Linked DNA regions of Alligator mississippiensis. The main gene of each other region encodes a partner of the protein of the gene in region 3 in a complex. Links are inferred from orthologs where the notes say so. Each region holds a gene or a part of one and is shown on either strand. Other genes may lie near its edges. The genes, in order: TIMM17B, TIMM50 and TIMM21.

Region 1 (10,696 bases), on a different chromosome or scaffold from region 3:
TGACCAGCCACGTGAGGGCTGCTAGGGAGCCGGCAGCCCCAAAGATGAATGCCACACTATGCCAGGCTGGGCGCTCATTGGGCAAAAAGCCTGGCACCGTCAGCCCCCGTGGCCAGTAGGGGTGCGGTGGGAGTGAGACCTCTGGCGCCATGGACTGGAGGGAGCGGAGCTTCACCTGTGAGGGAAGATAAAGAAGGTGCGGTTGGCATGGGTGGCCTGATGGGCAAAGGGACCTGGACACCTGGGTTCTGTGCCTGAGGGACTGGCAAGGAACCCAGGCGTCTGGGTGCCCAGCTTTGTGGGAAGGAGTTGGAGGCCAGGGCCACCCCGCGCCTGGGCCACCCACCACTCCCGCTTGCCACACACCTACCAGCACTCTACAGCCGAACCCTAGGAGGCAACTGAACCGTGTGCGCTTGAAATCCTGGGCCCCTGACTAATAGCAGCATGTGTGGGCAGCAACGTGAGGCTGCGGTAGCCAATGGCGATGAGAGGCGGCCAAGCATCTAATTTAGCCTGTCACTCCTCGGTGGCCAATGGAACGTGGGCCCGAGACGGAGCCTGGGAACTTGAGCCAGGGCAGCCGCTGATTGGCTGCGGCAGTTGCTGAGGCGATATGGGCTCAGGGGTGGGGCTGACAGAACCAGCCAGCGCCAGACTAGGGGCGGGACACGCGTCAGGAAGATGTGAGGCAATTTGGACGGTAGGGGGCAGGGCCCTAGAGAGCTCAGAAAGGCGTGCGGCCATTGGCCAACAGGACCACCGCTCCCCTCCTCCCGTGACACTGCACCTCCATTGGCTGGGGGACTGGCCCAGCCAAATCCTCTAGCCAATAGGATATAGGGAGATTCAGGCATGTCTAACATATGAAGTCTGGAACCAGAGCCCTAGAGCTGGGGTGACTTATGCCCGAAGTTCCGGGGCTGCGGCCATTGCTCTACCCCAGAAGCAGTCTGCTCTTGACTAGGAAATGGACCCGGCCCTGCCCTGGCCCCAGCCTGCCCCTCCCAACAGCCCCAAATGAACCCCAACACAGTTGTAAGAATCTTTTTATTCAACCACTGTAAAAACCTCTTTAAATACAAATGACCCTCCCCTCCAGAAACGGGGTAATGCTGGGATCAGGGTGGTGGCCCCTGGCCTGGCGGGGAAGGGAAGGGAAGGGGCTGCATCCCTTTCTGCAGCCCTTCATGCACAAGCCAGAAGGGGCAGAGCCAGTCTATAGGCATGGGGCAAGCAGCCCCTCTTCTTCTCAGGGTGCCAAAAGGGGTTCACTGGTACTGCCTATAGCCTGGGTAGCCAGCTGAGTTGGGACCATCCTTGGGGGACAGTTGGTTTGGGTCCTCTGCAAAGGGATTGGCTGAGGAAAAAGGATATGGAATTTAGGTGGTCCATTCCAGCAGTGCTCCCCATTCCAATCCACAGACCTCCTATTGATGCACTTCACTCCCAATCTGTAGGCCCCCAGTCACCCAGAACTTCCCCTAACTCTCGACCTGCAGGCCCCGCCCCGTGTCCCCCTTACTCCTAACTCACAGCCTCCTCATCTTAGTAATGCACCTCACGCTGAACATGCAGGCCCCATCACCCTAACCCTAACCCTCCTCAACTCCTTACGGTTCTGGAACTGCTGGGCCGTGTAGCGTGTGAGCAGGATGCCGAAGCCCTCAATGAGGGCCAGGAGAATGCCGCCCATCATGGCTGAGCCCATCATGGCCAGAGGGCCACCTGCAGGAGGAGGGAGAGAACCATGAACTGGAGAACAAATGGGGCTACCAGTCAGGAATAAGGGGCACTTTAAGCAGCTGCCTTTTCCCCAGAAATGTCTTCATTTCTCCTCAGGGAAAAGGGCGGGGCCATGAGGTAGGGTTGAGTCCATCACTCACTGCGGGATGCAAGGACAGCGCCTGTGAGGGCCCCACTGGTGATGGAGTTCCAGGGATCCTCTTTGCCCCGCACCCGCACCAGTCCACAGTCGATGGTAGAGAACAGGCCACCCCACACTGCAAAGCTGCCTGGGTTTGGGAGAGGGGGCTGAGCAGACCATGCCCCAACCGACAAGACTCACCTCTAATTGCCCCCAGCTCCCCCTCTCCCCTTGGCCATGTCCTTAAGCCCCATTCCGACTACTAGGCCCCACCTGTAATGACCCCCCAGGCCCACCTGTACCACCAGACTCTGTTATCATTTCCTCAGCCCTGCCTCCCACCACTAGGCCCTGCCCCAATGTCCCCCAGCCCAGCCTACCCATCCCAAGGCCACATCCCTGAATTTTTCTGCCCCTCAGGCCCTGTCCCCCAGCCCCAACCCATACCACCAGACCCCACCTTCCTATGCTCAGGCCCTGCCCTCAAATTTACCTGGCCCCACCTGCTACCCCCAGGGCCTCTCCCTCAGCCCCAACCCCCTCTGTCAAGCCCTGCCCTAAAAGTTTCCCAGGCCTGTTCCCACTACTAGACCCTGCCCCAATGTCCTTCAGTCCCACTCCTAATTGGCAGGCCTGCAGCCCCTGAAATTCCCTGGCCCCACAACTAGGCCCCGCCTCCTCACCACCAGGCTCTCTCTCAATTGCCCTACCCTCACCACCACAGCAAGGCCCTACTCTCCTGTGCCCCTCAAATCCCTCAACTCACCTCCAATCTGGGGGGCTCGGACCCGTACAGCATTGACACTGCCCCGAAGCCGGTGCTGAACACCCTGCATTGGAATGGGGGGGCGTGGAGGAGAAAAGGGGGTTGTGGAGTGCACAGGACACGTTTGGGTCAGCTGTGATTCCTGCCTTCCCCTCTGCCCCCACCCCCCAGAACACTGTCCCCCACCTCTCTGAATCTGTGTGAAGGTGGGGCAAAAATAGAGAGGAGCTTTCAAGGGTAAAAGGGGCAGAGCAGGACCATGCAGTGGGCAGGGCTTGAGGGGATAAAAGGAGGGTAGGTGAGGCCAGGCCACTCACCATGGGGGCGTTGCGGAAGCCCTTGATGGCCTGGAAGACACCACCACCAAGGATACCCATGGTGAAGGCACCGCCGCAGTCATCCACAATGCGCCAGGGGCTGCAGGACAAGGTGGGGTGGTGTGGGGGTTGGGAGTGAATTGGGAATAGCCCCCCTCCCCACCGACTTGGCCCGCAGTGGAATAACTCACCCATAGAACCCAATAGGGTGGGCGGTACCAAGTGGCCATTAATGTGAGTGACCATGTATGGGGTTAGCTGTCAAAAACTAGTCCTGCCTTAGACCCCAATGGCCTCACCTGCCCCACGGGATGAGAGATACTAAGTGGCTAGGATTATGGGTGTGTCAGGAGTGAAGAGCCATCACCCCCACCTCCACACAAAATGTACTGGTCCACCCATAGACAACCCCACCCCAGGGGAGGGAGATACCAAGTGCCTGGGAATGGGAACGTGCGAGTTCCGGGAGCAGACAAAGAACCCCCCCCCAGCCCCAGCCACAATGGCCTCTCCCACCCATGGAACGTGGGGTGAGAGGTACTAAGTACCGAAGAATGGGGTAGGTACCTGCAGGGAGTCAGATGTAAGGAACAGCCACTCCCCTGCAACACTCGCCCTCCCACTACACAATACCTCTAGCCCTGTTAACGGACCGGGAATGGAAAAGGAAGTAATTTCAAAGGAAGGGGCGCAATCAGCTATCAAAAGCCACCCCCAGCACCTCGCAATAGACTAGCCTAATCATAGAACCTAGAGGGGCAGAAAGTACCAAGTGGCCAGGAGGGGGGGGGAAGAGGAGAAGTGAACTTATTGCTTAATATTACATGACGAAGCCAGATATCTCCGACCCGGCCCCGTTACCAAACATGGAATAGCGCAAACTGACCCGGGTCGGCGGGCGGAACTAGAAAACGATAGTTCCCCTCCACCCCACAATTGCGAATGGATTCGTCCGTTCCCTCCCACCCCCCAAACGGCGAAATGGACTCGGCCACCCCAAGAAGAAGCCTAGGGCAGATCCACTGACCCGTTCCTGGAAGCTGTCCCCCTCCCTCTATGCCGCTGTTACCAGGGATCCCGGCCGTATTCTTCCATCGCGCCCCGCAGCGGCCTCACGGGTCATGTGACAAAGGAGAGGTAAGACTACCCTTTCTCCCAAGTCCGATCTTAATCACGTGGAGGCGGGGCGCTACGGGTCCCTATTGATCACGTGGAAAAGGCAGGTGGATGAAAGAAACAACGGCTCTGATTGCTCAGGAGCGGCACCAGCTTCGTCACGTGACAACGGGAGTTTTGGAGTTTTTGGGGGTGTTTTTTGTTTTTTCGTAGACCACTTGTGACTGGCTGGCTGCTGTCACATGAAAGCGAGGCGTTCCTCTCTAAACGGCGTCACGTGACAAGGGAACGCTCGTTTCGCCGTTCTGATTGGTCATCTGCTGTCACGTGATACCGGTTCTCTAGTCTGTTTTCTGGCTCTGGCACCGCCTGTATGAGACAACCGCAGCACTGGAATTGGCTGGCGCGTGTCACGTGTTGCAGGTAAGGGCGGGCCTTGAAGCCACAGAGGCGGCTGATTCGTCTGCGCTGACTCGGGAGCGTAGCTGGAAGTTGCAGGTGGGGAATGGTGGGGTCCCAGGGCCCCACGTGCGAGGAACTTACTATGGGAATAGAGGGGCTTCAGGGGAAGGATGTGAGGGCGGGGCTAGCATAAGGGGCGTGGCGGTGTGGAGCTCAGCTCCACCCCTAGGAACCCCCTCGCTGACCCTGCTCCCCATCTTACTGTTACAGATGCCGCTACCTGTCGCTCTCCAGTCCCGCCTAGCCAAGAGGGGCTTGCTCAAGCACGTGGAGCCTGGTGAGCCCCCCCCCCCATGCCCACAAAGCCATTGCAGATGCTTCACGTTGGGAGTGGGGGGCACCAGGATGGAGGGAGGGCTGCAGGTTGGGTTAGGGCACCCAAATTGGGGGACTTCGGGTCAGGAGTGAGGGACTCTGTGGGGAGCGGGGGTTGTGGGTTGGGAGTGAGGGATGACCCTCCCTGCTCTTCCTTTGCCAGAGTCCCAAGGAACCCAGGCATCTGGGCTCCCAGCACCCCCCTCCACTTTAACTGTCCCCACTTCTTTCCCCCCAGAGCCAGAGGAGGAGATCATTGCAGAGGACTATGATGATGACCATGTGGACTACGAGGCCACACGGCTCGAGAACCTGCCCCCCAACTGGTACAAGGTCTTTGACCCTATCTGGTGAGGGCCTGTTCCACTCAGCTGGTCCCCAGGGGCTCCCCCTAGAGTTTGGTGCATCTCAGCCCTAGTTGTATGGTGTTATCCTTGGCTATCTTGATTGCCCCACCCTAGAGCTGGCTGCATTTTGACCTCTTCTAGGCAATGTTGTACTCTGCTATTCCTTGCCTGCTCAGCCCCAGAGTTGGGTGCTTCTTAGCCCTCTTTGTGCCATGTTATACTCAGCTGTCTTTGCCTGTAATAGACCAAAATGCAGGTGGAGCTCAGGTGGGTTACCAGTGTTATACTCGGCTGTTCTCCATCTCCACCCTAGAGCTGGGTCCATCTTGGCTTTCTTTGAATGCTGGTATACTTGTAGCCAGTTCTGAGATGGGGCATCATTCCAACTTATTCCAGTTAGTATTATACTTCGCTATTCCCTTCCTGTTCCACCCCAGAGCTGGCTGCATCCTAGCACTCGCCATGGGAAGTTAAATTTGGTTATTATAGCCACCTACTCCACCTCAGAGCTGGGTACTTCTGGGCTGTATTTACATGGCATTATATGGGGCTGTTCCCAGCTCTCCTCCTGTTCCAGAGTTAGCAACATCTCAACCGACTTGGTGTTGCTATACCCAATCATTCCTGACCTACTGCACCCCAGAGCTGGCTGCATAGCTGCCCTGTATATGCCCTATTATGCTTGGCTGTTCCCTGCCTTCTCCACCCTAGAGTAGGCTGCACTTTTCCCCCCCACACACTTATTACTACCCCTTTGCCTCCACCAGTGGTCTACCCTATTACTGGAATGTGGATAATGACCTGGTGTCCTGGCTGTCCCCTAATGATCCCAACTCTGTCATCACCAAGGCCAGCAAGAAGCTAAAGAACAACCTAGGTAAAGAGTGGGGTGGGGCACGCCCTCAGACAACTGGGTTGCCAACTTAAAGGAAGTGGGAGCTGGGGGGCCTAGACACCTGAGTTCCCGCCCCAGAGTGGGTGGGATCTGGGAACCTGGACACCTGGGTTCTTTTCTCCCTTTTCTGATGCCTGGGTTCCCTCTCTGGAGTGGGTAGGGGCTGGGGGACTTGGATACCTAGATTATCTACCCTCCCATCCCCCTCTCCCCACTCGACAGAGGCAGAAGAGAAGCCTGAGCGCCTGTATGAGGAGGCTAAGGAACGGCGGTTCCATCGCCGGGAGGAAATTTCCCCCTACAGCAAGAGCAAAAAAGGTGGGCAAGGCCTGGGGGAGGGTCATGGGCTGGTGGGATGTGTTGGGGGGGACATGGGACTGTTGGGGTGGGGGGACATGGGACTGTTGGGGTGGGGCTAAAAGTAGAGGGGCTGGAGCTGGAGGCAATTGGGGTGGAGTCAAGGAGGCACTAAGCAGGGCCCAGATCCAGCCTGGGCAGATCTACATCAGGCTCCCACCCACTCTCAGGGAGCCGGAAGGATGAAGAGCTTGACCCCATGGATCCCAGTGCCTACTCGGATGCCCCCCGGTGAGTGCTGGGGCAGTTAGAGGAGGGGCTTCTGAGCCCAAGGGGTGGAGCCTAACAGGTGGGCAGAGCCTAGCTGTACTGAGACCTAAGGGGGTTATCAGCTGCAGGCTCCACTGCTGGGGATGGTGGGGCCTTATGGCTGGGGGCAGGGCCAGTTCTTAGGGGGCTGGGGCCCAGGTCTTTAAAATCAAGCTAGTGGGGGCAGAGCCCTATGGGGGTGTGGCCATCTTTTTAGGGGCGGTATTAAGGGTGGGCAGAGCCACATGGGGGTGGGACTAACTCCCTGGGGTTGGAACGAAGGGTGGGTAAAGCCACATGCTGAGGCTAGTGCCCTGGTGGTGGCCAGGGCGGGGCGGGGGGGGCTAAAGGTGGGGCATGGCCCACTCCCTGGGGGTAGGGCTAAGGGTAGGCAGAACCACATGGGGGCAAGGCTAGCTCCTCTGGGAGGGAGGAGAGATTCCCAGGGCCTGTGGCTACTAGGGGCTTAGGGCCAGCCCCCCAGGGGGCATGGCCAGCCCCTTGACCTTGCCCCGTTCCCTGGGCAGGGGTACGTGGTCGACGGGGCTGCCCAAGCGCAACGAGGCGAAGACTGGGGCTGACACAACGGCTGCAGGGCCCCTGTTCCAGCAGCGACCCTACCCCAGCCCTGGCGCTGTGCTGCGTGCCAATGCCGAGGCCTCACGTGCCAAGCAGCAAGACTGACTGGGCCTGGATGACCCTGGGAACTCTGAGCCTCCCCACAGGGACTCCAGGACCCCCCTCCCCCCCAAACCTCCCAGGCCCTCTCTGGGACTGCTTAGGACCCCCAGACCCCCTTGGGATCTTCTATAGAGTCCCCCCATGGGGAACCCAGGATCCCTCCAGTCCCCTTGAAACCCCTGGGATTCCCCTAAAGCCCAACAACAGGGAACCCAGGACTCCTCCAGACCCCCCCCCCCCCTCCCCCCACAGGGAGCTAAGGACCTCCCAATACCCCCTGTCCCCAGTCCCCCTCCATGGGAACCTGCTGTCACCTACTGGCAGTGAGGACCCCCAGAGCCCCCTTTTTGGTGTCCCAGCACCCGTACAGAGATCTCCCTCTTTGGGGCCCTTAAACCCTGCCCCGGGAATCCCTCAGACCTCTTTTCCAGTGCCTTCCCTGCTCAGAAGCCCATATGGGGACCCCCCAGACCCCACCCAAAATTCCCTGTTTTGATATAATAAAGCTAGTGCGGTGGAGCCAGACTGAGGCCAGTACAGGTCACGGGGTGGGGCTCTGGGGGTAACAGAAGGGGTTACCTGCCCCAGTATCTGCCAAGATCATGGGGTGGGGGGAAGGTTACAGTCACTTGCTGTCAGACAGAAGGGGTAGAAGACCAGCCGTAACCCACCCTAGCCCCTGAAGAGAACCCAAGTGTCTGGTTCCCAGCCCCCACCACTGTCCCAGAGAACCCAGGCATCTGGTCTCCCAGACCCTTACAGATGACGCTGATTCAGTTCTTAGTTTAGGAAAGCAGCATTAGCACCACAATAAAGTCAAAACTCCAGTAAAAAAAAAAAAAAAGTAGGTGCAGGCAGAACCCCCACCCCCTAGCCCCAGCACCAATCTGATGTATAGAAACAGACAGGGAGAGCAGGCAGAGACCCCTGGTGTCCAGGGTTCTGGCTCTAACACTACCCCAACAGGTTCCCTTCCCCTCCCCTCCCTTGCTAGAGAACCCAAGCATCTGGGTTTTAAGCCCCTGGTCTCACCAGGAAACCCAGAAGTCCAGGCCCCCTGACCTCCCCACAGCTGGGGATGGAACATAAGGACCTGGACTCCCAGCCCTCCCAGCTCCAATGCATACACCCCCTCCCAGGGAACCCAGGCATCCAGCCTCCCTCCCCCTACAGTCTAAATCTCCAGCCCCCAGAGAACCCAGGCGTCTGAATTCCCAGTCTGCCTGCTCTAACCCCAGAGCCCCTATTCCCTCCCCAAGCACCCCAGATATGGTGGTGGGGGGGGGGGGGGATAAGTTGAAACCTTCCTGCCCCACTCCTTGCAACCAGAGCTGGGGGCGGTTAGCTCCAAGGCGAGGAGAGCTTGCCTGGCACCAGGATGTGGTCAGCTCTAGGGTGGAGCTGCTGGGGAACAGCTGAGTAGAACAGGCCTGGATGTGCCCAGCTCTGAGGTGCGACAACTCGGAAAAGGCTGAGCAGAACAGGCCAGGATACAGCCAGTTCTGGAGTGCAACAGCTGGAGATGGGCTAAGTATATCACTTCCTGGAGAGGCCCGAGCTGCGTCCAGCTCTGGGGTGGATCCATGTAGCTGAGGGCTGCAGTCAGGAGCCCTTCTCTTTTTCTGGTGCCCTGGAGGGGGAAGAAGAGAACAGAGGCAACTTCAGGTAGGGAAGGTGTCTGGAGTGGGCAATGGCAGAGTATGGCAGCCAGTTCTGGGTTGAAATGGCTTAACAGGGCAGTGAGAGCCCAGATGCAGCCAGCTCTTTGGAAGGGGAACGGCTGATTATAATGCCCCTAAAGGAGGGCTGAGATGTAGCCAGATACGGCAGAACACCAGGAGGGCCAAGATGCACCTATCACAAACTATAACAGGCCAAGATGCAGCTAGCTCTGGCATGAGGAACAGCTTAGTATGAGGCCAGAATACAACCAGCTCTGGGGTGCAACTGCTGGGGTGTAACAGGGCAGTGAGAAAACCCAGATGCAGCTAGCTCTGGAGACAAGAAATAGCTGAGTGTAACAGCAGAGGCATCCAACTCAGATGGATCAGCCAAATATAACTGGCCAAGATCCAGCCAGGTCTGGGCTGAAGAACAGCTGAATATCACAGGCAACAATGCAGTCAGCTCAGGTGGAGCTGCTGAGGGCAAGCAGGGAGAGCCATGAGGCACCTAGCTCTAGAGTGCACGGCCAACTACAACAGGCCAAGAAGCATTCAGCTCTGGGGTGTAGCAGCCAGGAGACAGCCAGGTATAACAAGGCACTGAGGGGTGGCTAGGTCTCATATGGATTGGCCAAGAGTAACAGGCTGAGATTTAGCCAGCTGTGGGGTGTGGCCGTTGGGAAGCAGCTGAGAGAACAGGCCAAGATGCAGCCAGCTCGGGAGCAGCACTCCTCCCTCCCTTACTAAGGTTGAGATCCCGGATGCCTGGGTTCCCTCTTGCTCTGCACCCCTACTATAAGCCAGTTCACACCTCCCCCAGTGGGGACTCTTGGGTTCTTATCTCCATGCCTCAGTGTCCCCCAAGGCTTGGGACACAAGGGCGGGGCTTGTGGAGGCCCACACTCTTTTCTTTTGAGGCAGCCAGCTCTTAAAGGGCTCTGCCCCTCCCCCCCCTTAATGGTGTTAGAGTGCATGTAGGCCCCACCCCCTCCAGACACGGAAAAACCCAGGATAAATAAATAAGGCTCTTTATTGGACAGCAGCTTTCATGATGCATGGGCCCCGCCCCTCCCCTACAAAAGACCCCACCCCTCCTTTAAAAAAACCCAGTGTACAGTGGTGCTGACCTCCCCTGCCTAGAGCCAGCATTGCCACCCTTTTCCCCCCCACCCCCTCCCCCAGCCTGGTGAAATGGAGTTAGTTACCAAGGGTGGGGAGAAAGAACCCGGGGGCAGGGGGGGCGGTAGGTCTCTGATGGGGAGGGAACCCAGGCATCCGGGCTGTGAGTGGTAAATAAACTGGGGTGGAGGGTACAGAGGAACCCAGGCAGCTGGGTAGGGGGTTAGTGTTGCTTTAAAAAGAAACTGAGCCACAGACCTGGAGAGAGAACCCAGCTGTGTATGCTCCCACTCCTGTCCCAGTGTGGAGAAAGAACTCAGGCCTGGGCAAGGAAGGGAGGCAGTGCCAGATTCCTAGATTCCCCCCACCCATAACACTAGGAAGCAAATCACACAACAATAATCACCTCTGACATGTAGATGTGCTGGCCCTTTAAGAACAGGTTTCTTCTCCCCACCCCCTCCATGAGATTGCTGTCCTTTAAGACTGGTCACACCAGCAGCAGCCCTGCCCTTGAGGCCACGTGACCAACTCTTGCTCT
Region 2 (9,663 bases), on a different chromosome or scaffold from region 3:
GCCCCGTGACAGACAGGAGGGGGCCAGGTCCTGCACACGCACACACTAACATACTCGCACACAGACTGCCCTGGGCTCCCTGCAGGCCTCACAGAGCGGGTGCTAGGAGAGGATTGGGCGGCACCAGGGTAGCAGCTTCCCCGGTGCCCCCTGACAGCCATGTTCTCCTCCCCCTCCCCGTGCCAGGGCGGACGAGGAGTTTGAGTACGGCTTTGACGACGAGCCCACGCCTTCGCCGCAGGGCTACGGGGGCACCCCCAACCCCCAGACCCCCGGCTACCCCGACCCCTCGTCGCCGCAGGTCAACCCGCCCTACAACCCGCAGACGCCTGGGACGCCGGCCATGTGAGTTCATGCTTTGGGAGCGGGGGAATGGCTACCAGCTGGAGGAGATTGCTGGACAGTGCCGGGCTCCTGGCTCCGCTCCTAACCCTTTTCCCTACGGCAGGTACAACACGGATCAATTCTCCCCCTACGCTGTCCCGTCCCCGCAGGGCTCTTACCAGCCCAGCCCAAGCCCTCAAAGCTACCACCAAGTAGCCCCCAGCCCTGTGGGCTACCAGAACACCCACTCGCCGGCCAGCTACCACCCTACACCATCACCCATGGCATACCAGGTAGGCAGGGGATAGGAGCTGTGGCTCTAGGCAGCAAAGAGTTCATGTTTGGGAACAGGGAGCTCCCTGACTTGGGGTGGAGGGGGACCCTTCCTGAGTGCCACTCTCATCCCCTTTTCCCTGCCCTGTGCTCCATCTGCCACTACAGACGGAGGCCACCCCTCTAACTCAGCTTCTTTTGCCTCCCTGTCACACAGGCCAGCCCAAGCCCCAGCCCAGTGGGCTACAGCCCCATGACACCAGGAGCCCCATCCCCAGGGGGTTACAACCCGCACACCCCCGGGTCCGGGATCGAGCAGAGCTCCAGCGACTGGGTCACCACCGACATCCAGGTCAAAGTGCGAGACACCTACCTGGACAGCCAGGTGGTGGGGCAGACTGGAGTCATCCGCAGCGTGACGGTGCGTTGGGAGCTGTTCCTGGGGTGCGGGGCAGTTACCAAGGGGGTTGGGCAGTTAATCTGGGATGCTCCCCCCCCACTCCCAGACATTTGTTTCCCCCCCCACGTGGGGTGAAAGTGGGGAGCTTGTGGGCACCAGGAGTGGAGAGTTCAGCCAGATCCAGCCGGGGGCTGGACCTGTGCTGGAGGAAAGGGGCATCGGGGGCTGTCGGGCACAGGAGTGCGGGGCACGGCCTCAGGGTTGCCACGTCCTGGACCCTTGATGGCTGTGAGGGGGAGAGGAACAGGGGAAGCCCTGCTTGGACCCCGTCACTCCCCCATCCAGCGCCGCTCTCTGCCCCCATGTGACACAGGAGACCTGGCAGAATGGACCTGGGGTCTGACCCAGTCCACAGCAGCTCTGAGGTTCCAACCCTCCCACCCCAAGGAATATAACAAAAGGCTCGAGGGCGACACAAACTCATCATTCACAAACCTGTTGCTCTAACCACTGAGCTATGGAGCCAGGCCTCGTGTCCAGCACAGAGGAGCCCTTGCTAGTGCAAAGCTTGTTGCTAGGAGGATGGGAGTTTGCTCAAATGCTCGTAACAAAGCCTCAAGCCTGGTTATGGGATGCAGAGGCCCAACCCCTAGATCCACTTCGGAAGGGACCAGATCCTTACCTAGCAAGGTCCCCCTCTCCTGCCTCCCCAGCTGAAGCTGCTACCTGACTTCCCTGCTTCCTCCCCTCCAGGGCGGCATGTGCTCCGTGTACCTCAAGGACAGCGAGAAGGTCGTCAGCATCTCCAGCGAGCACCTGGAGCCCGTCACACCTACCAAGAACAACAAGGTATGCGGCTGCCCCCAGAGCTGGGCTTCGGGGCTTCGGGGAGGCTCGGATTTACAGGGAGGTTGGTCCTTGGAAGGCCCTGAGCAGGGTGAACCCCACTGGAGGGGTGTTACGTAGCTAATGCAGGGGTCATACTGACCCACAGCAGGGGGGTGTCAGGGTGGGAAAGGACCTGGATGAAAACCCTATTTTCACCCCCCTGCTCCATCACCCACGGGTGTTGCCGGCTCATCTTTCCCAATTGGCTGGTCTCGGTTGCCTCGCGTTTGGATTGGCTGTGACGCACTTGGGAAGGCTCGAGGCTTTGTCAACGATTGGCCCCTGAGCTCAGCTTCACAGCCCACATCCCAATCGTGGCACATCCAAGGGACCTGCATGGCCTAAGCTCCCCACACCTGTCTCAGCCTCTCCTTGCCTGACCCCGCATCTCCCGCTCCTCCCTCCCAGGTGAAGGTGATCCTCGGGGAAGATCGGGAAGCCACAGGTGTCCTCTTGAGCATCGACGGCGAGGACGGCATCGTGCGCATGGACCTGGAGGAACAGCTCAAGATCCTGAACCTGCGGTTTTTGGGCAAGCTGCTGGAGCCGTAGGGCCCATAGGAGCCTCTGGCAGCCCCTCAAGACTGGCCTGTGCAGCACGGGGAAGGGGAAGGAGCTCTCCCAGGGAGAGGGGGGTGTTGCTTTTAGTTCTTTTCCACACTCTATTTTGTTTTGGGGGGTGGGTTTTAGTTGTAGTCTGGCAGGTGCGTGTCTTAGCAAAGCCGGGGCCACAGGGATGGGGCGAGGGTAGAGGCTGTAGCACATAACACGCTTCACTGGCTTCTGTTTGGGGAACCCTTTCATCTGCCCATGTCCAAATAAACCTCTCTCTTCCCCCCCCTGCACCCACGTCCTCCGTCTATGTCAGCAGGGAAGACCGGCAGGGTCTCGAGCCACAGGAAGGGCTGCACAGTCATGCCCTATGGATTCTGGGCAGCCAGAGATTGTCTTTTGCTTCCCCACTGGCCTGACACCCCTGAGGGGCGCAGGAGGATTTTACTCTAGGCAAGCTGAGAAACTGGGGGTCAAAGAGCATCTGTCCCTAGCAGAAAGGAGCGAGGGAGCCAGGTTTGGGCAGGAGAGCTGGGCTCAGAGGCTGGCAGCGAAGGCCAGGCACTTATCGGATGAACCAGGGCCTCTTGCAGTCAGTTTGTTAACCTCTGCAGTGCCCCCGAGAGGAACCATGGGCTGTGCTCCGGGGGGGTAGGAGCTGGGGTAGCAGGGGCCGGCCATGACGGATGCTCTGATACTGAAGGGCTTGGGGCTGCGCTTGGCAAGTGGCGGCTGGAGTGTTTAAAGCCTGGAGGCTGCTCTCGAAGCAGCTCCGTGCACCTTAGATAGTCGGGCTGAGAGCCCAGACGGAGTCACCGAGGTATTTAAGTCTTTGATTCACGAAGGTATTTATGTCCTCGACTTGCAGAGGTTCCTATGAGGGGGTGAGACCTGCTTATGCCTTTCTGGGTCTGGCCCTAAGTGCAGTGGGCAGAGATCAGGGTGGAGCCTGCGGCTTCTTCATAGAATCACAGACGAGGAGGGTTGGAAGGGACCTGTCCACCCCCTGCTCCAAGCAGGGCCAGCCCCAGCTCCATCATCCCAGCCGAGGCTTTGTCTACCCGAGTCTTCAAAACCTCCCAGGATGGAGACTGCGCCACCGCTCTGGGGAGCCTCTTCCAGCACTTCACTGCCCTCCTCCAGAGAGAGCTCTTCCTAATACCCAACCTCAACTTGCCTTTAAATCGGCAAACGCAGCTGGAATTTGTGATCAGAGCCCCCCGCAACCATTGCAGAAAAATTCAGTTGAGTCCAATGTTTCCGCTGTCCACACGGGCTGGCAGCTGCTTTGCCTGCCGAGGTGCTGGAGCGGGTTTGTGTCAAACCTTCGCTGGCCTTGTGTTTTCCACGTGGGGCCTTGCGGGAGGGGGCTGAACCGCGGCCGCGCTGGAAGTACACCCTGCGTCCGTTGTTCTAGGCTGGGCAGCGCCTGCCGTCCTGTCGTGCAGAGGTGTGTGAGCCTCGCGGGCCGCGCTGACCCAGCAGCAGTGCTTCTCTCTTGCACGCACAGTCTCACACTCGCAGTCTTGTGCGCACCTTCTCACGCATGCATGCAGTCTTACATGTTCACACATACATGCTTGTGCCCACTCGTGCGCTCAGATGCAACTATTCACTTGTGCATACGAGCTTCCACTCATCCAGCCCTGTGCGCTCACACTTGTGCAGGCACGTGCACTTGTGCAAATAGATGCACTCTCATGTCTATGCATGCTCTTGCACATGTGCTTTTGTGCACTCATGCACTGCCACAAACACATGCCCACAGTTGTGCAGGAACTTGTACATTCCTCTATGCATGTTCTTGTGCACTTGTGCGCGTGTACACTCATGCACACACATGCATGTGCCCACTCATGCAGGCACATGCACCCTTGCATGCGTGCATATGCCCACACTTGTACATGCACGCATTTTTTTTGCACTCCTGCGCACACTCAAGCATTCACACATGCTCACACGTTCTTGTGCAGATGCACAACCCAACCACACGCCCACACAGCGCCAGCAGGTGCACGTGTTGTCATTAGGCTTCAGGGTTAACGCCATGAGACGAACCACGTGGTCCCTCACCGCAGCACCCCCGGGCTTGCACCCTCGAAGCACGTTGCGGGGCGGTGGAAGGCGCAAAGCCTGCCGGGAGGAGGGGGGGTCACTGCCCCCTTGGCGCCAGCGACCGTAGCCAGAGCAGTTCCCCCACGTGCTGCCTTTGACCTTCGCCGCCTTCCACTTCCGCCTCCTGCCCCCATCCCTGATTGGCTCGGGCGCCCCTCGTCCCGCCTCCCCACTCCGCGATTGGCCGGCTTCCCCGGCCCTCCGCATCTCCATTGGCCGATACGTGCGTCTTTTCCCTTAAGCCCCGCCCCTTTAATTTCTTCACCATTGGCCCGGTGAATCCAGAGGGGCGGGACTCGCCGCGACTCCCGTTTCCTGGATTGGCTTGCGCCGCGGGAAGGGGCGGGGCCGGCCCCGGCAGCCCGCGCCCTGATTGGCCCGGCGGCGCGTGCGCGGTGTGGGCCGGCGCGGGGCAAGATGGCGGCGGCGGTGGCGCGGGCGCTGAGGGGCTGCTGCCGGCGGTGGCGGGCGGCGCCGTGGCGGGCGCTGAGCGCGGGGCCGGCGCCGGGCTCGGGGGGCGCGGCGCACGTGGGGCCAGCGGTGGACGCGGGGCCGGCGCCGGGCGCGGGGCTCACGGGGGCGGTGCTGCAAGACAAGCTCCAGCGCCCGCAGGTGAGGAGTGGGCGGGGCCTGAGTGGGTGTGTGGTCTCGGTGGGGGCGGGGCCTGAGGGGGAGGGGCTGATTGGTTGGGGCGGGGCCTGAGGTGGGAAGTGATTGGCCATTGGGGAGGGGTTGATGGTGGGGTGTTTGAGGGGGCGTGGCCTGAAGGGAACTGATTGCTTGGGGACGGGGCTGGAAGGGGAGGGGCTCACCGATTGAGGGCGGGGCCTTCCTGATGGGGAGGGGCCAGTGATGGGTTGTCTGAGGGGGCGGGGCCTAAGAGGCGCAAACTGGGGGAGGGGCTCACTGATTGAGGTTGGGGCCTGAGGGGGCGTGGTTTCCCAATGGGCAGGGTCTGATGGTGGGGCCTGAGGGGGTGGGGCCTGAGGCCCCAGAAGTTGGAAGTGGGGGGCTAGAAGGCACCGCTGAGGTCATCGCCAGGGATCCTGGTTTTCTCTGATTTAAAAAAAAAAAAAAAATCCCCAATTTTCACGTTAAAAAAAGAACCCAAAATCCACATTTTTCCTTGATCAAAATGAAATCCCCCCTCTCTCTCTCAAATTAGGTTATTATTAGATTAAATGAGGCCAGATCCAGTTAATTGGTGGCCGTCCACCCGCAGGCCGGATCGAACGTGTTGGGGGGCTGGGCCCAGCCCTGCCCTGCCCTGCCCTGGGTTAACACGCAAGCTCCCGCTTGCTTGAATGGGGCAGCTAATTCCCTTTGTCATCACCCCGCAGACCGGGCTGTCTGCTTCCGCATTGATTCCCGCTTCATTCCCGACCCGGAGATGTCGCGAGAGCTGCCAAACCTGGCGAGTTTCCTGCTTGGAGTCACCGAGGGGCTCAGTGATGCGCTGGGTCTGCTCCCCGGCATGCTTAGGGGCTAACTGCTTTTCGTTCCTTTTACGAGGGTTTCTGTGAGAGGATCTGCCGTTGCCTCTGAGTGGCACGTAGAAAAGCCAATGGGATTCCCCCCCAGTAGAGGTTTTGAGGCTGGTAAGGGGGTTCATCGACTAGCATGGGATTCACGTGACTTCTTGCTGCCGCTAATTTTGATCTCTTTCCTTTTTCTCCTCCCCGCCGCAACGGGTGCAGACGACAGAGGGAGGAGACGGGAAAGACGCCGGCTCTGATGAGCAGCAGGAGAAAAAGAGGAAGGAAAACATAGCCTACGCCAAGAAGGTCGTGCTGCGGCTAGCAGGGCTGATGGGAGCCGGGAGCGGGCTAGCGATTATCTATGTCTTCGGTAAGTCCCGGCTGTACAGGCTGAGGTGACCGTATAGGAGCTGGGTGGACACGCGGCCTGTACCACCCATCTTCTGGAGCTGAAGTTTGGGTTTCCGGGGGCTGGTGGGGGGCTGCAGTCAAGCAGAGAGCGAGGACACAGGTGGTTGTTAGAAGGAGAGAGCTTCAGCTCTGCTGGGCAGCCGTCGGAAAGGCAGACTCGGGGATTATTAAGAAGGGAACGGGGAGCAAAGCCGGAAGTATCGCAGCGCCCCTTTGTACACCCGTGATGCACCCACACCTCCAGTACAGCACCCAGTTCTGGTCCTCGCACCTCCAAAAGGAAATAGAAGAGCTTGAGATGGTCCAGAGAAGGGCAGCAAGGTTGATCAGTGCGATGGGGAGAGACTAATGAGGCCAGGCCTGGTCTGTTCAGAAGAGAGATTCACAGGAGTTTAGGGCTGGAAGGGACCTCGTGAGATCATCGGGTCCAGCCCCCTGCTCCGGGCAGGAAAGTGTACAACACGGGGACAGGACGAGGGCTGACAACGTGTGAAGGGGGAGAGAGAGAGTCAACAGAGATCTATTCTGGGCTGTCTCCCCCCAGACAAGAGCAAGGGGTCACGGCATGCAAGGAGCAGGCCGGCCGTTTAAAACGACACCAGGCCATTCTTTTATAGATGGTATCTGTTCCATCCAGCGTGGGATGAAAGTGGGGAGCGGAGCTCGTGGGCACCAGATGTGGGGGGAGCGGAGAGTTTAGCCAGGTTCACAAAGGGCCTGGGCCCGTTTTTGGAGGAAAGGAGCATCAGGGGCTATTGAGCATGGCAGTGAGGGGCACGGCCTCTGTATCGGGACGCCCTGGACCTACAGAGCTGGAGGCTGCAAGGAAGAGAAGAAAAGCCCTGCTCAGACCCAGCCGCTCTCCCTTCCAGCAGTCGTACGTAACCCTCGCCACAAGTCGCTGTCTTGCTCTGTTGGACTGCCCGGCTGGGTTTCTAGCATGACGCCACGAATTGTGTGTGGCTACACGCGTGTGTATCTACATACATATGTACATGCATACACGCAGACACATATACAAGGGCATTTCCGAAAGTAGAGGCAGTTTCAAAATGCGTGCAACAAGGGAGAAACCACCTAGCAGCAGGGAACACGGATGCCCCCACTGACACGCTGCTTACAACTGCGTAGAGAAGGACGGTTTGGACAGGGCTGGTCCTGCCTCAGGCAGGGGGTTGGATTGGATGCAGCGTCCGGAGGTCTGTTCCAGCCCCGCTTCTCTCGTGTTTTTAACCCTGTGGATTCCTTTTAGACCCAGAGGGTTCAATCTCGTGTATTGTGTTGGCGCGCACATCAATGCTCACGTGGCCCCAGCAGCCCAGAGCGGCTCTCGAGGCACCCCGGGGTGCTCCTGGGCTCCTGGTTGAGCATCACTGCTCTCCAGCCCTTAGCTATCTGATTTTAGGTTGGAGGCTTCACACCTGTACCTGTGTGGCAGCCACCTGCTTTTCCTGACCTCTGCAGCCATTCGTGATGACACGGTGACTGATGTGGCTTTTCTCTCCCATTTCACAGGCAGCAACTCCTTGGATGAGCATGGGGCTAAGGTAAGGAGCTTTCTGCTTCCTTTGCATTTTGCGTCTTGATAATAAAAGAGGATTTTGTGGGGTCACAGAGAAAACCAGGATCCCTGCTTAAGAGATCGAAATGCTGGTGGGAGACAGTGATTACGCATCTGTGCTGTCTAGACTCAGCTTCCATTAAAACAGGCTTTTGGTACCTTGCCCTTGCTGCTGATTTTCCCTCTGATCCCTGCGTCTCAGTGCAACCCGTTAGCGCCAGCCCCTCCTTCTTAGTCTCATTTCCTTTCTTAGAGGGTCTTAAAACGCTGCTTGTTGTGTGGGTTGAAAATGCATGTAACATTTATAAGCAGCTGAGTGCTCCTGTATGGTGTTTTTTTTTGGTGGAAGCGGTGTTTCTGCTTGGAGAACTGGGTAGAAACCTGTTGAACCCTTTCTGGTAGCATCGGGGAGATGTAACCAGGATGCTTTGCATTGGAAAGTGTGTCTAGGTCTCTCCCTGTTGTATTTCAAGCACTTGGCTGCCAACTGGTGCAGTAGACTATAGAGCAGTGGGGCTGGAAGGGAGCTCCAGAGCTCACATCCAGTCCACCCCCTGCCTGAGGCAGGATCAGCCCTGTCCAAACCACCCCAGACGCATCCGTCATCTATGCTTTACGTGAGACGACTGTCAACCCTGACATAGCACAGACCTGACACCCAAACTTGCCCCAGGGAAAGCAGGGAGACCGCTGCAGCCAATGTCCCGCTCCTATGAAATGTTGTCAATAGATGCTCAAGGGATCCCAGGTAGAGGGCCCACCCCCTTTCCCCCCAGCAGCTCATATTAATCTGAGCATGGCATAAAATTCCTTCCTGGCCCAAATATGGTGTCAGGCTGAGCATGAGCAGAGGGGCAAGACCCTCTGGCCAGGACGCTCTGGATTTGGTGCCAGCAGGAGCATTGGCACAGCTCAGTTGCCGTCCCCTGCAGCCAGCACGTTTGGGGGAGGCTTAAAAACCCCCTGATACATGGAGCAGAAGGATGGTGGGGAACAACCAGCAAAGCCCGGAGGCCTGGGACACCCCCGTAGCAGAGCACAGGCATCACTGAGCCTGGATCACCCCGACCAGTGGCTGTCCAGCCTCTCCTTGAACCCCTCCAGGGATGGAGAGTCTGCAGCTTCCCTGGGTGTGTCTGTTCCATTGCTTCCCTGCTCTGACAGTGAAGAAGTGTTTCTGGATATCCAACCCAGGCTTGCTTTGCTGCAGCTTCAAGCCGTGGGTCTGTGTCCTCCTCTCTGCAGCAAGACAGAAAAGCTGCTTTCGTTCTTCTTACAGCAGCCCTTCAGGTGTTTGAAGCCTGCTCTCGTGTCTCCTCTTAAACACTTTTTCTGCCAGCAGAACATGCCCAGGTCCTTCAGGCTTTCCTTGTAGGACTTGCTTTCCAAGCCTTTGATCATCTTTGTTGTCTCTACACCCTCTATCTTCTCCACGTCCTTTATAAAATGTGGAGCCCAAAACGGCACACGGTATCCAGACAAGGTCTGACCGAGGCTGAGCAGAATCATAGAAAATGAGGGCTGGAAGGGGCTTCAGGAGGTCACATCTAGTCCAACCCCCTGCTCCAAGCAGGACCAGCCCCAACTGCATCATCCCACCCAAGGCTGTGTCTACCTGGGTCTTCAACACCTCCAAGGATGGAGACTGCACCACCTCTCTA
Region 3 (10,625 bases):
AAAGACCATGACATGTTTTTAAGTAATTTCAGCATATTTATAGATACCCATTAAACCTTGTTATTTTCTGCCTTCCTAGTAGTTAATTTCAAGACCAAGAATAACTGGTGCTACAGCTCTCAGACTTATGTACAATGATATTTTCTTTTAAATACTGGTATTATATTTTCAGCAGTAATCTATTCAGTAAGCTATACATGTAGAGCAATTTTTAAATACTGTACAGGAAAAGGGAAAAAATCAGAATAGAAGACAGTAGGTGCAAAGCAGACATACTATTGCAAATTACTGAATTTAGGGAATTATCAGTTAAAGTAAAAACTAAAGATAAGGATAGCACATCCAAAAAACCCATTTTGATTATTGGTTTGTCAACTGTAGTCTTCGAGTATATTACATAGTGGGCTAGTAAATGCACTATTGTCTATTCCCTAAAAATAATGAAATGTTACTATTATGAGGGCTCTTTAAAACCTTTGCCATAAAATCTTTACTGAGAAGTGGGGAGAAACTATCAATTAGAAGAAGTTATAAAGTATGCCTTTTAGCAACGTGCAAATTAGTGACGAAACTTTAATAACCTCTTTTCCTCCAGCCTTCCAAATCTTTCTTACCAGTTGAGGTTTTGCCCAAACCTTTTCAAAGTACTTCTAATTTCTGAAGCTAATTGTGTAACAATTATTTTTTTGCTGAAAGGAATAAATTGGAGAAACCAAGAAGATAGGATCAGACATTATAACTGATGTCACAAATTACTTAATTACGAAAAAAAGAAAAGAAAAAGAGTGCTGTTAGGAACAGATGTCTGAATCACAATCCTCTAAGAAAACTCTCTTCTCTATTTCCTGGTCCTGAGCATGGTATTTCATCTTTCTTTCACGAGTCATTGAACTAAACGAGAAAAAAATGTTAAAACCTTAGGGAAATAAACTGATCTACCATAAAAAGGTATTTGTTGCAAGGTGCTTAAGGGAAACTTAATTAAGACATTAAATTGTGATATTCAATCTTGCACATCACACTGGGGGTTGGGATTAATTCTGGGCTTTGCTCCCAGGATGTGTTATGTATTTACATTAGAGAGAGGCATTGGATGAAAAATGAATATAGTCCTGGGAACAGGGACCATAAGCCAGGACCTCTGCATCCAAGCCAAATGCTCTAACTACTTGGCTACATATTCATGCTCCCCTCTTGTGCTCTCTCTTCCAGGCGTTGCATTCTCTTCCACAAAGGGCCCAACTTCAACAGGAAAGGTGGAGAGTGCTCCCCCAACCCAATCTAATCTACAGCCTAGTGGTTAGAGAGCACTCTCCTGGAGGTATGGTGGGGGTGGGGGAGTGCATAACCAAATCTCTCATGTTAGGTGTGCTCTGAATACATCTGGCAGATTTCTACATCCCAATGGGGATTTAGCTGGAAGCAAGCTACAAGGGCCATGGCAGTCACGTACATGTCCCAAACCACATCACTAAGGAAGTTGCAGGCTAAACAAGGAGATACCAACTGAATTGTTTGCCACAGAAGAGGGGATAGTTGGCTTTCAACTGTGGTGCCTGAAATGCACCTAAGTCCTTTTTTTTCAAATAGCTATGCCGCTTTTTTTTTTTGTGTGCATGTGTGTGTGGGGGGGGGGGTAAGACTCCTTTCCTCCATTTTGCAACTAGATGGAGCAAATGTTTCCACCTACATTTCTCTGGCGAGTAGTATTTTTCATAGATGCAAAAATGTAGCATAAGGAAAGCATTTCCTATTTTCAATGTAACAGTTGTAACTGCATTGTTAAATAACAACAAGAACTAATTACTGGAAGCTAGAGCCAGGAAAATGCAGACAAGAAATAAGGTACAGTCAACACCTCTCAGTAGCAACAGCCTAGTGTTCTGGTGCTCTGCGGGCACGGCTGCATGGGACGCTAAATGCACGGCAGAGTAATTCTACCATGTATTAGTGCGTCACGGCAAAAGCCATGCTATTGTGCTAATGTGCAGTAGAATTGGTCTAATGCACATTACTGTCACTTAAAAGGCATGCGCTACTGCGCAGTAGTGCCTGTTACTGTGCATCTAGTTAGTACCTGTTATTATAGGTACTAAACTTAATGTGCAGTAACTACGGCATATTAATGTACATGTAGACGTGCCCTGTTGCTCCTAAACTGCTCTTGCTCCGGTATAGATCACTGGGAATATTTTCACTGCTGTGTATTCAGATGAAATGTGGCTGTTGCTTTAACAAGCAATTGTTGCAAAAAAGGCATTACCTGTATTAAATTTTCAAAATGAAGGCAATTAATCATTTGAACAAATGACCAAAGTAAATGGTACATCTGTTATCTCTTAATTCCTCAGATCAAGACTGGATTCCTTACTGGAAGATCTGTTTCAGTCAGATGTGTTGTATAGGTTGATACAGGGGTAATTAGTTAAAATTTAAGAGCCTGCGATACGCAGGTCAGACTAGATTTTCTAATGGGCCCCTTGGGCCTTAAAATCAGCGAAATTATAGAGCCAGTGCAAAGTAATCACCCAGCTATTTATGGACTGCTCTTCAGAACCACTCACTTATGTCATTAAATTCAGACAGGTTTTAATCTTCAGGACATTATGTGGATATAGAATTATTTTCTGAACTGTTTCAACCACTTGCAGAGAATCAATTCCTAGAATATTAGTCAGCCAAGGTGTTTAAATCCTCTCTGTTTTTTTGCAGTAAGTTTAAGGTTCTGTTCAATACAAGTAAATGTCTATATTGCAGATTGCAATGTAGTGTGGAAACACCCAAGGGAAACAGAAATTTGGCAGCAAGCTTATGCATATAGCAGGCCCAGTCATAACGGATAAAAAAGGTTAGGAAACTCTGCAAGTTACTACAAAATGTTAAGTCTCCTTCTCTTGGTCTAAATCTAAGAGGCCTGTTATTTAGCCATTTATTATGCATCAGAAAGATTATAATGGCATCTGAAATATAATGTGCACAAATGGAAAATTACTGGCTGTCCAGTCACATCCCATTTATAGCAGGAAAATTTTCTGAAAATGAAGTCCCACTGACACTAAGTTTGCTGATAGTGAACTAGGATTAGCAAAACTGGACGTGTCCCCCCCTCTACTGTACATAGGTTACCAGAGGCCACCCTGATTTACACTGGGTGGGTCAGGTCCTGGCCTCACAAACCCATGTGTTGCAAAGAAGTCAACCAATGCAACGGGTGGTAATGCAAGGGAAATGTTACCCTGTGAGAGATGTACCTATAAAAGTTAATAGTGTATAAAAAAAAGGAATCAGGACTTGTGGTAGAGGTGATATCTTTTATTAGACCAACTAGATTTTTGCAAAAAAAATAATCTTTAATTGCAATTAAATTTCTTTAGTTGAATTAAACTGCAATTTAATAAACGTAATTACACTGCTCTAGTTGGTTTAATAAAAGATATCACATCTACCACAGATCACAATTCCTTTTCTCCTCTAGACCAATACAGCTACAACCTGGGTACATGAACGTCGCATGACTCCCGAGGCTGGGGGGTGCACAGCAATGTTGGTGGTGAGGCCGTGCCGGCGGTGAGTGGGAAACTTCTGCAGGTGGCCGTGGCAGCGGTGAGGGAAAGAGGTGGCGAGCACTAACCAGTGATTACCCGCAGACACTGTTGGCAGTGTTGGCGGCAGCCAGTGGCGATCAGCAACTGCCCGCGGACACTGCCAGCGGTATCGGCAGCGGGGAGGGGAGGCGAGTGGCGAGTGCCTACAGGTGTCGGTGGTGGCCAATCTCAGGGGGTGAACGTACACCCTCTACGCGTCGCCAATGCCTGGATACCTAACAGTGTAGAAAGCAATTCAAAACAAGGCAAAGTAAAGTCAAGGAGGGGAGGAGGGAGAGAGGGCTGAGATGTAGCAGTCTTCCTGAATGCTGCAACTCTCAATTGCAATTTTGACACTCAATTTTGCACCACTGCCCTCGTGTGACACCATCTCCATGTTGCTCTGAATTGCTACTGGCTTAAAAGGGCCTCTCCTTACCTTTCCGAGCAGGTGACAGAGATGCTTCCTCTTTCTGGCTTCTTTGCACAGACACTCGTTTGCTGTTATTCTCAGCTCTCAGGGACCCTTCCTGGGTCCAGAGACTTTGCTTTGCGCCTTGGAGAAATATACGAGGGCGCCGCACACCTCTGCGGACAAGTTCGTGTCTCCCACTGAAACACGACCAGGTCCTTAAAAACACTTTCCCATGGGGGGCAAGAAACCACTTTCCTGGGGAGAGCTGTAGCTTCTCGCTGCACTGAATCACTCGCATGAGGGAAGCAGAAAACATGCTGGGGCAGATCAAGCCTTTGAGAATGCTATAGGCTCAGATCAACGCAGCTTCCTTCAAGCTAAGGCTAACCTCACCTTGCTTGCTGCTGAGCTGGTGCAGCCCCTGAGAAAGCAAGAAGAACTAGAGCAATCTTTTGCTTTTTGTCTTGCCGGCTCACTCAAAACCCCACATTCCCCTTTGCTCGCTGACATTTGCAACTTGCCCCGCCATTATTCCTTGCAAAGTCCCTGTGATCCTGGGAAACGTAGTTTGCACAAACTCTTCTGCTGCCCCGAGTTAAGGGGGTTGGAGGCCAAAAGACTACAAGTCCCAGAATGCAAAGCACCAGCCCCTGCTGTTGAAATCAGCAAGATCCAGGACACGAATCAAATCGAAAGCCACTGGCTTGGGCACGGGGAGCACGTAGGTAACGTGCTGCTGCAGCCAGGGTTAGGCATTTGGTGTGTTCCCTGCTTTGCCAGTTTTCAGTGTTTTAGAAAGGGGTTCAAACAGCTTTTCTTTTTCAACGTTTAATGTCTTAACAAGGGTTGTTAACATCTTTTCTTTCATTAGGGTTTTGCAAAAATGCAAGTTGCTCCTTGCTTTTTGCATGAAGCTGTAAAAGGGCAGATCAGGAAGTATTTCTATTCTAGAGGAAAACTGGTGACGTAAGGTCCCAATACTGCAAAGACTGGATGTGCACTGCAAAATTAGGGGTTAGGGTTGAAAGGTTTTTAACATGGGAATCTGTTCATTAATTGCATAAGCAGGAGTGTGAGCATGCAGCAATCGGGCCAATTCGATTTATTATTTGCCTTCCTTTGAACTTTACCCTTGTGGTTAGAGGTTCTGCTTTTAAACTGAGGATCAAATCCAGCAATCACATGGCTGATTTATGTGGTCACCTAAAGTGGCTCTGCATGCTGATTTACCCTGCTGTCTACCCAATTTATGGAATGATTATTAAATGCAAAATCTAGAAGTACCAGTTGGGGCAGGAGATCAGAACCCAGCACCCATCTCTTTGAGTTGCATTTCCTTCAATTTGCTTTACTTCTGGCTCTTGGTTTTCAGTTTTTTAAGTTTCAAGAGGAGTCCTTCTCCATGGCCTTGCAGTTGGTATGCTTTGCTATGAAACAGGAGGTACAGGTTTCAAATTTATGAAGCAGCAGGTAGGGTGCTAGAAGCTGAATTTTCCACTTCCTGGGCAAGTGCCCTAACCACTAGGCCAGCATTTCTCAATCTGGGTTGTGACCCAAAGGTAGGTTGCAAGAATATATGAAAGGGTGGGGAGCGAACTTTATAAATGGATCAACAGACTTTAAAAATGGACTCTCCTTTAAAGGAAAAAAAAATGGGAAACTGTTTTTTCCATTGCAGGCTGGCAGAATTCCAGTTTACGAGGGGCTGCTTGCTCCCTCCCCCTCCCCCCCTCCTTCCTCACACCCCCTTTGCCCCATACACTGCGGGGCTGGGGCTTGGGGTCTGGGTTGAGGCAGCGGGTTGGGAGTGAGGGGTACTGGGTTGGGACTGGCCATCAATGGCTACAAATGAGTTCTGGTACAAAAAAGGTTGAGAACTACTGCACTAGGCTATAGGGCTAAAATTGGGATTATTATTTTGGGATTATGCATGGAGTTATATCCCTGGCTGGAATGGGAACACAATAGGGTGGAAGGAGTTGGGAGTGGTTCCTGTGCACAGAAGGGGAAGGTGAACTGTGCAGGGTGGAGGTGGATCTAAGATTTGCATAAATGACCTGAAATGCTGCTTTCTTAGTTAGCTGTGGCAATATAAGGGCTACTGACCTGCCTAAAGGGAAGTTATAGAATCATAGGCAATTAGGGTTGGAAGGGACCTCAGGAGGTCATCTAGTCCAACTGCTTGCTCAAACGTCAAACAAACATAATCTCTCTCATTCTTTTCCAAGCTCCTTTGTCTCTTATTGTAGTATTGTTTTGTATGAAGTTACACAATTATCACAAAGCTGAGTATCTTAAAACCCTATTCTACAATTAAGGCCAAGATCTTTATTAATTGTACCTCTGCAACCTCACTGAATTCAACTACTGTGTATTACAAAGGTACTATAGAAGACAGAACTTGAGTTTGGGTGTGTTTAATTTTATAAAATATATTTACACATTTTGGGGTATGTGTATATAAAATGCACAACAGCAATATACATATTTATTATTTATATAAAAATAAATAAAGCCACTACTCAAACATATCTTAAAATATTTTGTTCAAACTTTACATGAAAATGAACCTCTTTAGGGAATTTGTTTAAGAAAATGATGAGCAACTGAAATATAGAATATATAATAGGAGTTAGATTTCAGCCATAACCACATATATGTGTAGTTCAGAGGTGTCAAACATATATGGCTTGTGGGCTGCATCTGGCCTATGAAGCCATATGGTTCTGTGACTTATGGGCCAGATCAACCCCATGTACTGGCCTTAGCCCCCTGCACTGCATGCAGTATGTGGTCTAGACTTGGCACTGTGTGTCCTGCACACGGCACAGGGGATCAGTCAGGGGAACACAGTGCATGTTGCACTCTGCAGGACCAGCCCTGCATACTGGCTCTGACCTGGTGTAGATCAGGCTGTGTCACATATAGCATGTGCCCTATACTGGACCTCCCTGCCATATGCACAGCGAGGCCTGGAACCGGTGTACGCAGCATGCAGGCTGGACCTCATGCTGTATGTGCTGCACACAGAGTTGGTCCCAGTCTGCTCACAGACTGCCCCAGGGATCCTCATCTGACCCGTGGAGCTGGATGAGTTTACAACCCTTGGTGTAGATGATTTCTTTGGTTCCACTGATACCAAGTGCCTCTCAAACTTTACATGTTGGTATAAAAATACATTTAAGGATCAAATTAAAATAACAGTTAACCATATGCTAATAAATCTACTTTGTTGGAAGAATCAGTCCCAACACTGCAGGTACCAAAATGGCTATTTTGGAGATGCTAGTCACAGATCTGTCACTTAGGTTTTGTTCTTAAAGCAGACAAAGTATTTATTATGCATGCAAATGGCAGCAATTGCTCTTTGAGAATAAATGGAACATTCTGAGAATTTGGAAGTAAATCTGTTAAATGGTTTAGGCTTAATTTTAATTATTAGTTGGGTCCTGTAAGAAATTTAGCAGCAGGTGTCAGACCTTTTTTTAGTCTCAAATTATCTTAATAGCAGAATAACTCTGGCAGTTCAAACTTCCCATATAGTTTAAATTCACAGAAGTCTTTTGACTCGGTGGCTGCTTCTGACTTTTCTTTCTTGAGGATGGATAGTAATACTTGCAAATTATTCTTCCAGCAGAAAGCTTCTCCTTTAGCCAGCGCTGAAGAGTAAGTTTCTCATAAGTTCTTCAGAGAACTCCCCCTCTCTAAATATGACAACTTGTTATTATTCTCAGTGATCCTGGAGCCACAGTTTGTACTCAGGTGGCCAGTATGAGAAGGCAGAGTAGACTGGCACCTTTGCCAGTGGATCTCAGCCTTTTTAGACTCAAGGCACCCTTGGATAGACTTGAGGCACCCCTTTGATTTCTGCTCCACCCAAAGTTTAAAATCAACTGCCTGGCAGTGACAGCAGCATTTCTCAATAGGCAGTGCTGAGTGAGTCACTTGAATCAGTCAGGGGGTTGGGACTGGATGACCTCTGGAGATCCCTTCCAGGCCTACTTCTCTATGACTCTATGACTTCCTGGCTCATTATCATCTACCTGATCCCTCCTAAACTTTTCAATCTGTATGTGTATAGCATTCCTCCCTTCTTTTGAATAGGCTTGGTGTCCAACCAAGCAAAGGGATTGTGCTATGCTATGCTGCTGCCTGTTCCCTGCTCCTGGTGAGGCAGCTCCTGTCTTATAGCCTTGTGAATTAGTTTTCAACTCATTCCAATGAAATTCTCTTTGTTTCTTCTTCACTCTAACACTAAATAATACAGCCCTGCCTGGGTCTCTAGCCTGTTAGGAAAAGTGTCTAATTTCTTTTTACCTAGAGAGAAACACCTGTAGTTTTAGATGCCATGATGCCCCTCACCAGGTGTATCACCCCCTCCCCCCCCCCATTTTTTAATGTCCTAGCACTATGGCAAGGTTCATGCCATTAGCCTACAAGAGTACTTTGTAAAATCTAGAGCTACTCGTGCTCCTACTTCAGATCAGAAGTGCAGCCATGAAAGATCCAAATGGCAGCAGTCCTAGCCCAAGCATCATCAGTGAAGATGTGATTATTATTAATGGTCACGCTCATGAAGATAACAATGCATTTGCTGAATACATGTGGATGGAAAATGAAGATGAGTTTAACAGGCAGACAAGAGTTATAGGAAGAATTTATTGAACATTGTTTTTAAGAAATGCTGGAAAAGGAAGAGTAACACAAATGATTTTATTCCCACTCGAGATCTCCCACAAACAGGGTGCATGTACATGAGAGGTTTACTGCAGAGCTGATTAATTAGCTCCACAGTAAAGTGTTAGCATCTACACATGCGGTACTATTTGACTGAAATAGACTAAATAACTCGGCCATAGGACAGTACTGCCCAACACGGGTATGATCCTATGGTGGAGTTATTTACTTTGCTGCAACACGCATGTAGATGCTGACCAGGGCTGACTGGTGCATTAGGGTTGCCCCACACCACAGCACTTTTGTACCCCAGCTAGCCCCTCCACAGCATGTTGAGTCAGAGCAGCCCCAGGCTGGCAGGCGGACCACCGGCACCCCCCGCCTGCTGGGGCTGGTCTGCTGTGACTCAACATACTGTGGTGTCAGGCGCACCTGTAAAAGCAACGCAAAAAAACTCCATTGCAAACTGCACGGGAGTTTTTTTTTGCATCAAATTGGTTTCACAAGTAGACGTGCCCAGAGTGGATCAAATCCAGGGCCAATTTAATAGCCTTGCTATCAGCGACAGCTCATCACGGGAGGACGTGATGATCAAGGGTCATCTGAGTCCGAGCGTGAAGGAGTTTTCTTCTGGGACGAAGCACTAAGCGTGGGAGCAGCCTGGGCCCTCTTTTGGCTGATGTAGCACAACTTTCAGGCTGTGAAGCCAGGCTGCAGGTCTCATTTCAAAAGCGCTCTCTCCTTGTCACTGGGCGCACTGACACTAGCAGCTTATGCACATTAGCATCATACCGCATGTCACAGCAAAAACTGTGTGACTAGCCTAGCCTGCAGTAGCATGAGGCTAACTGGCAGCTAAGTGTCACTAAATAACTGTGCCCCAGCACTACTGTGCAGTAAGTTCAGGCACTACCGATGTCCTTAGCACGTTAGAAAGGAAGTACTGAACTAAACACGCAGTACCTGAGGTGCGTTAGCGCCCAACACGTCACACTTCTGCATTGCCCCAGGCGTGCTAGTCACGCAGGCGTCACACAAGTGTTACGAAGTAAGCAGCTGTCACAGGTTGAATGACGTCAGGGCGGGGCGAGAGAAGGTGGCGCAGAAGCCCCGCCCCGCGAGAACGAGGCCGCCCCTTGGAACGCTCTCAGTGAGTCACGTGACGTCGCCGCCAAAAACCCCCCCCCCCATAGCTCCGCGGGGGGGGCAACAGTCGGGGTTCGGTGTTGCCATGGCGATGGGCCGCGGCTGGGTCCTGCGGCAGCACTGGGCGGGCGCGGGCTCCGACATGCGGGCCAGGTACCCGATCCCCCGGCTCGGAGCTGTCTCCTGGCTGGGGCGCCGCGGTGGAGGAGGGCCCTGTGCTCCAGGCAGGGGGCAGAAATGGGGGGGGATCTAAGCCCGCCTTGAGCCCCCGTGGGGGAGGCACGTGCAATCCCATCCCTTGCTGGTGTGGCCTCTTGAAGAGCTGTAAGCCCCCCCGGGTGATGGGGGGGGCCCCCAAGGGCCTGTTGCCCTGGCTCAAGGCAGCTTAAAGACCAACTGGACGGCGGGGGAGGGCGCAGGTTAAAAATTAAGCCACTGGGTGGGGGGAGACCCAGCAGAGGACACTGGTCTGTGGTGAATGGGGGCACCCCTGGGTGTTGGAGGGTTGTTGGGGGTGGCTCAGCAGCCCCAGAGGCTGCTCAAATAGGGGAAAGCCAGAGCTCATAGTTTGGGGCCCAGCACTCCCTGGCCGGTTGCAATTTTTCATCTTTTCCAGTAAAGATGGAAACAAGTTTGGCTGCAGCCTTGGGCCAAGTCCTGGGATTTGCCAGGGTAATTCTCTCTCTCTCTTTTTAAGCCTGGCTGAAGGGGGGAAAAAAAACTGGAAAACATTTCCATTCAAGGCTCAAAGCCAGAGGCAAACTTGGTAAAGGAATAGCAACAATTCGCTGCTACTTTACAGT

What was found.
Region 1: TIMM21 (region 3) and TIMM17B share a complex: the UniProt entries of both Homo sapiens proteins name them as parts of the TIM23 complex. The link is inferred for Alligator mississippiensis from reciprocal best matches to the Homo sapiens genes TIMM21 and TIMM17B.
Region 2: TIMM21 (region 3) and TIMM50 share a complex: the UniProt entries of both Homo sapiens proteins name them as parts of the TIM23 complex. The link is inferred for Alligator mississippiensis from reciprocal best matches to the Homo sapiens genes TIMM21 and TIMM50.

The regions. Positions count from the first base shown.
Region 1 is NC_081831.1:28,427,077-28,437,772, forward strand, and holds TIMM17B (mitochondrial import inner membrane translocase subunit Tim17-B), read right to left. Parts: upstream 4,111-10,696; 5' UTR 4,046-4,110; coding exon 4,020-4,045; exon of another isoform or gene 3,978-4,019; intron 3,615-3,977; exon of another isoform or gene 3,518-3,614; intron 3,051-3,517; coding exon 2,951-3,050; intron 2,698-2,950; coding exon 2,634-2,697; intron 2,016-2,633; coding exon 1,887-2,015; intron 1,729-1,886; coding exon 1,618-1,728; intron 1,361-1,617; coding exon 1,272-1,360; 3' UTR 1,037-1,271; downstream 1-1,036. Other genes in the region: EBP (3-beta-hydroxysteroid-Delta(8),Delta(7)-isomerase), read right to left, coding at 1-151; PQBP1 (polyglutamine-binding protein 1), read left to right, coding at 4,739-4,805, 5,082-5,193, 5,958-6,067, 6,308-6,403, 6,613-6,673, 7,219-7,375; SLC35A2 (UDP-galactose translocator), read right to left, coding at 8,975-9,002. UniProt on the Homo sapiens protein: Essential component of the TIM23 complex, a complex that mediates the translocation of transit peptide-containing proteins across the mitochondrial inner membrane.
Region 2 is NC_081838.1:1,064,584-1,074,246, reverse strand, and holds the start of TIMM50 (mitochondrial import inner membrane translocase subunit TIM50), read left to right. Parts: upstream 1-4,954; 5' UTR 4,955-4,969; coding exon 4,970-5,164; intron 5,165-6,249; coding exon 6,250-6,400; intron 6,401-7,956; coding exon 7,957-7,988; intron 7,989-9,663. Other genes in the region: SUPT5H (transcription elongation factor SPT5), read left to right, coding at 187-345, 449-617, 815-1,018, 1,751-1,846, 2,294-2,437. UniProt on the Homo sapiens protein: Essential component of the TIM23 complex, a complex that mediates the translocation of transit peptide-containing proteins across the mitochondrial inner membrane. Has some phosphatase activity in vitro; however such activity may not be relevant in vivo.
Region 3 is NC_081826.1:107,904,867-107,915,491, reverse strand, and holds the start of TIMM21 (mitochondrial import inner membrane translocase subunit Tim21), read right to left. Parts: upstream 4,546-10,625; 5' UTR 4,316-4,545; coding exon 4,024-4,315; intron 1-4,023. Other genes in the region: FBXO15 (F-box only protein 15), read left to right, coding at 9,908-9,975. UniProt on the Homo sapiens protein: Participates in the translocation of transit peptide-containing proteins across the mitochondrial inner membrane.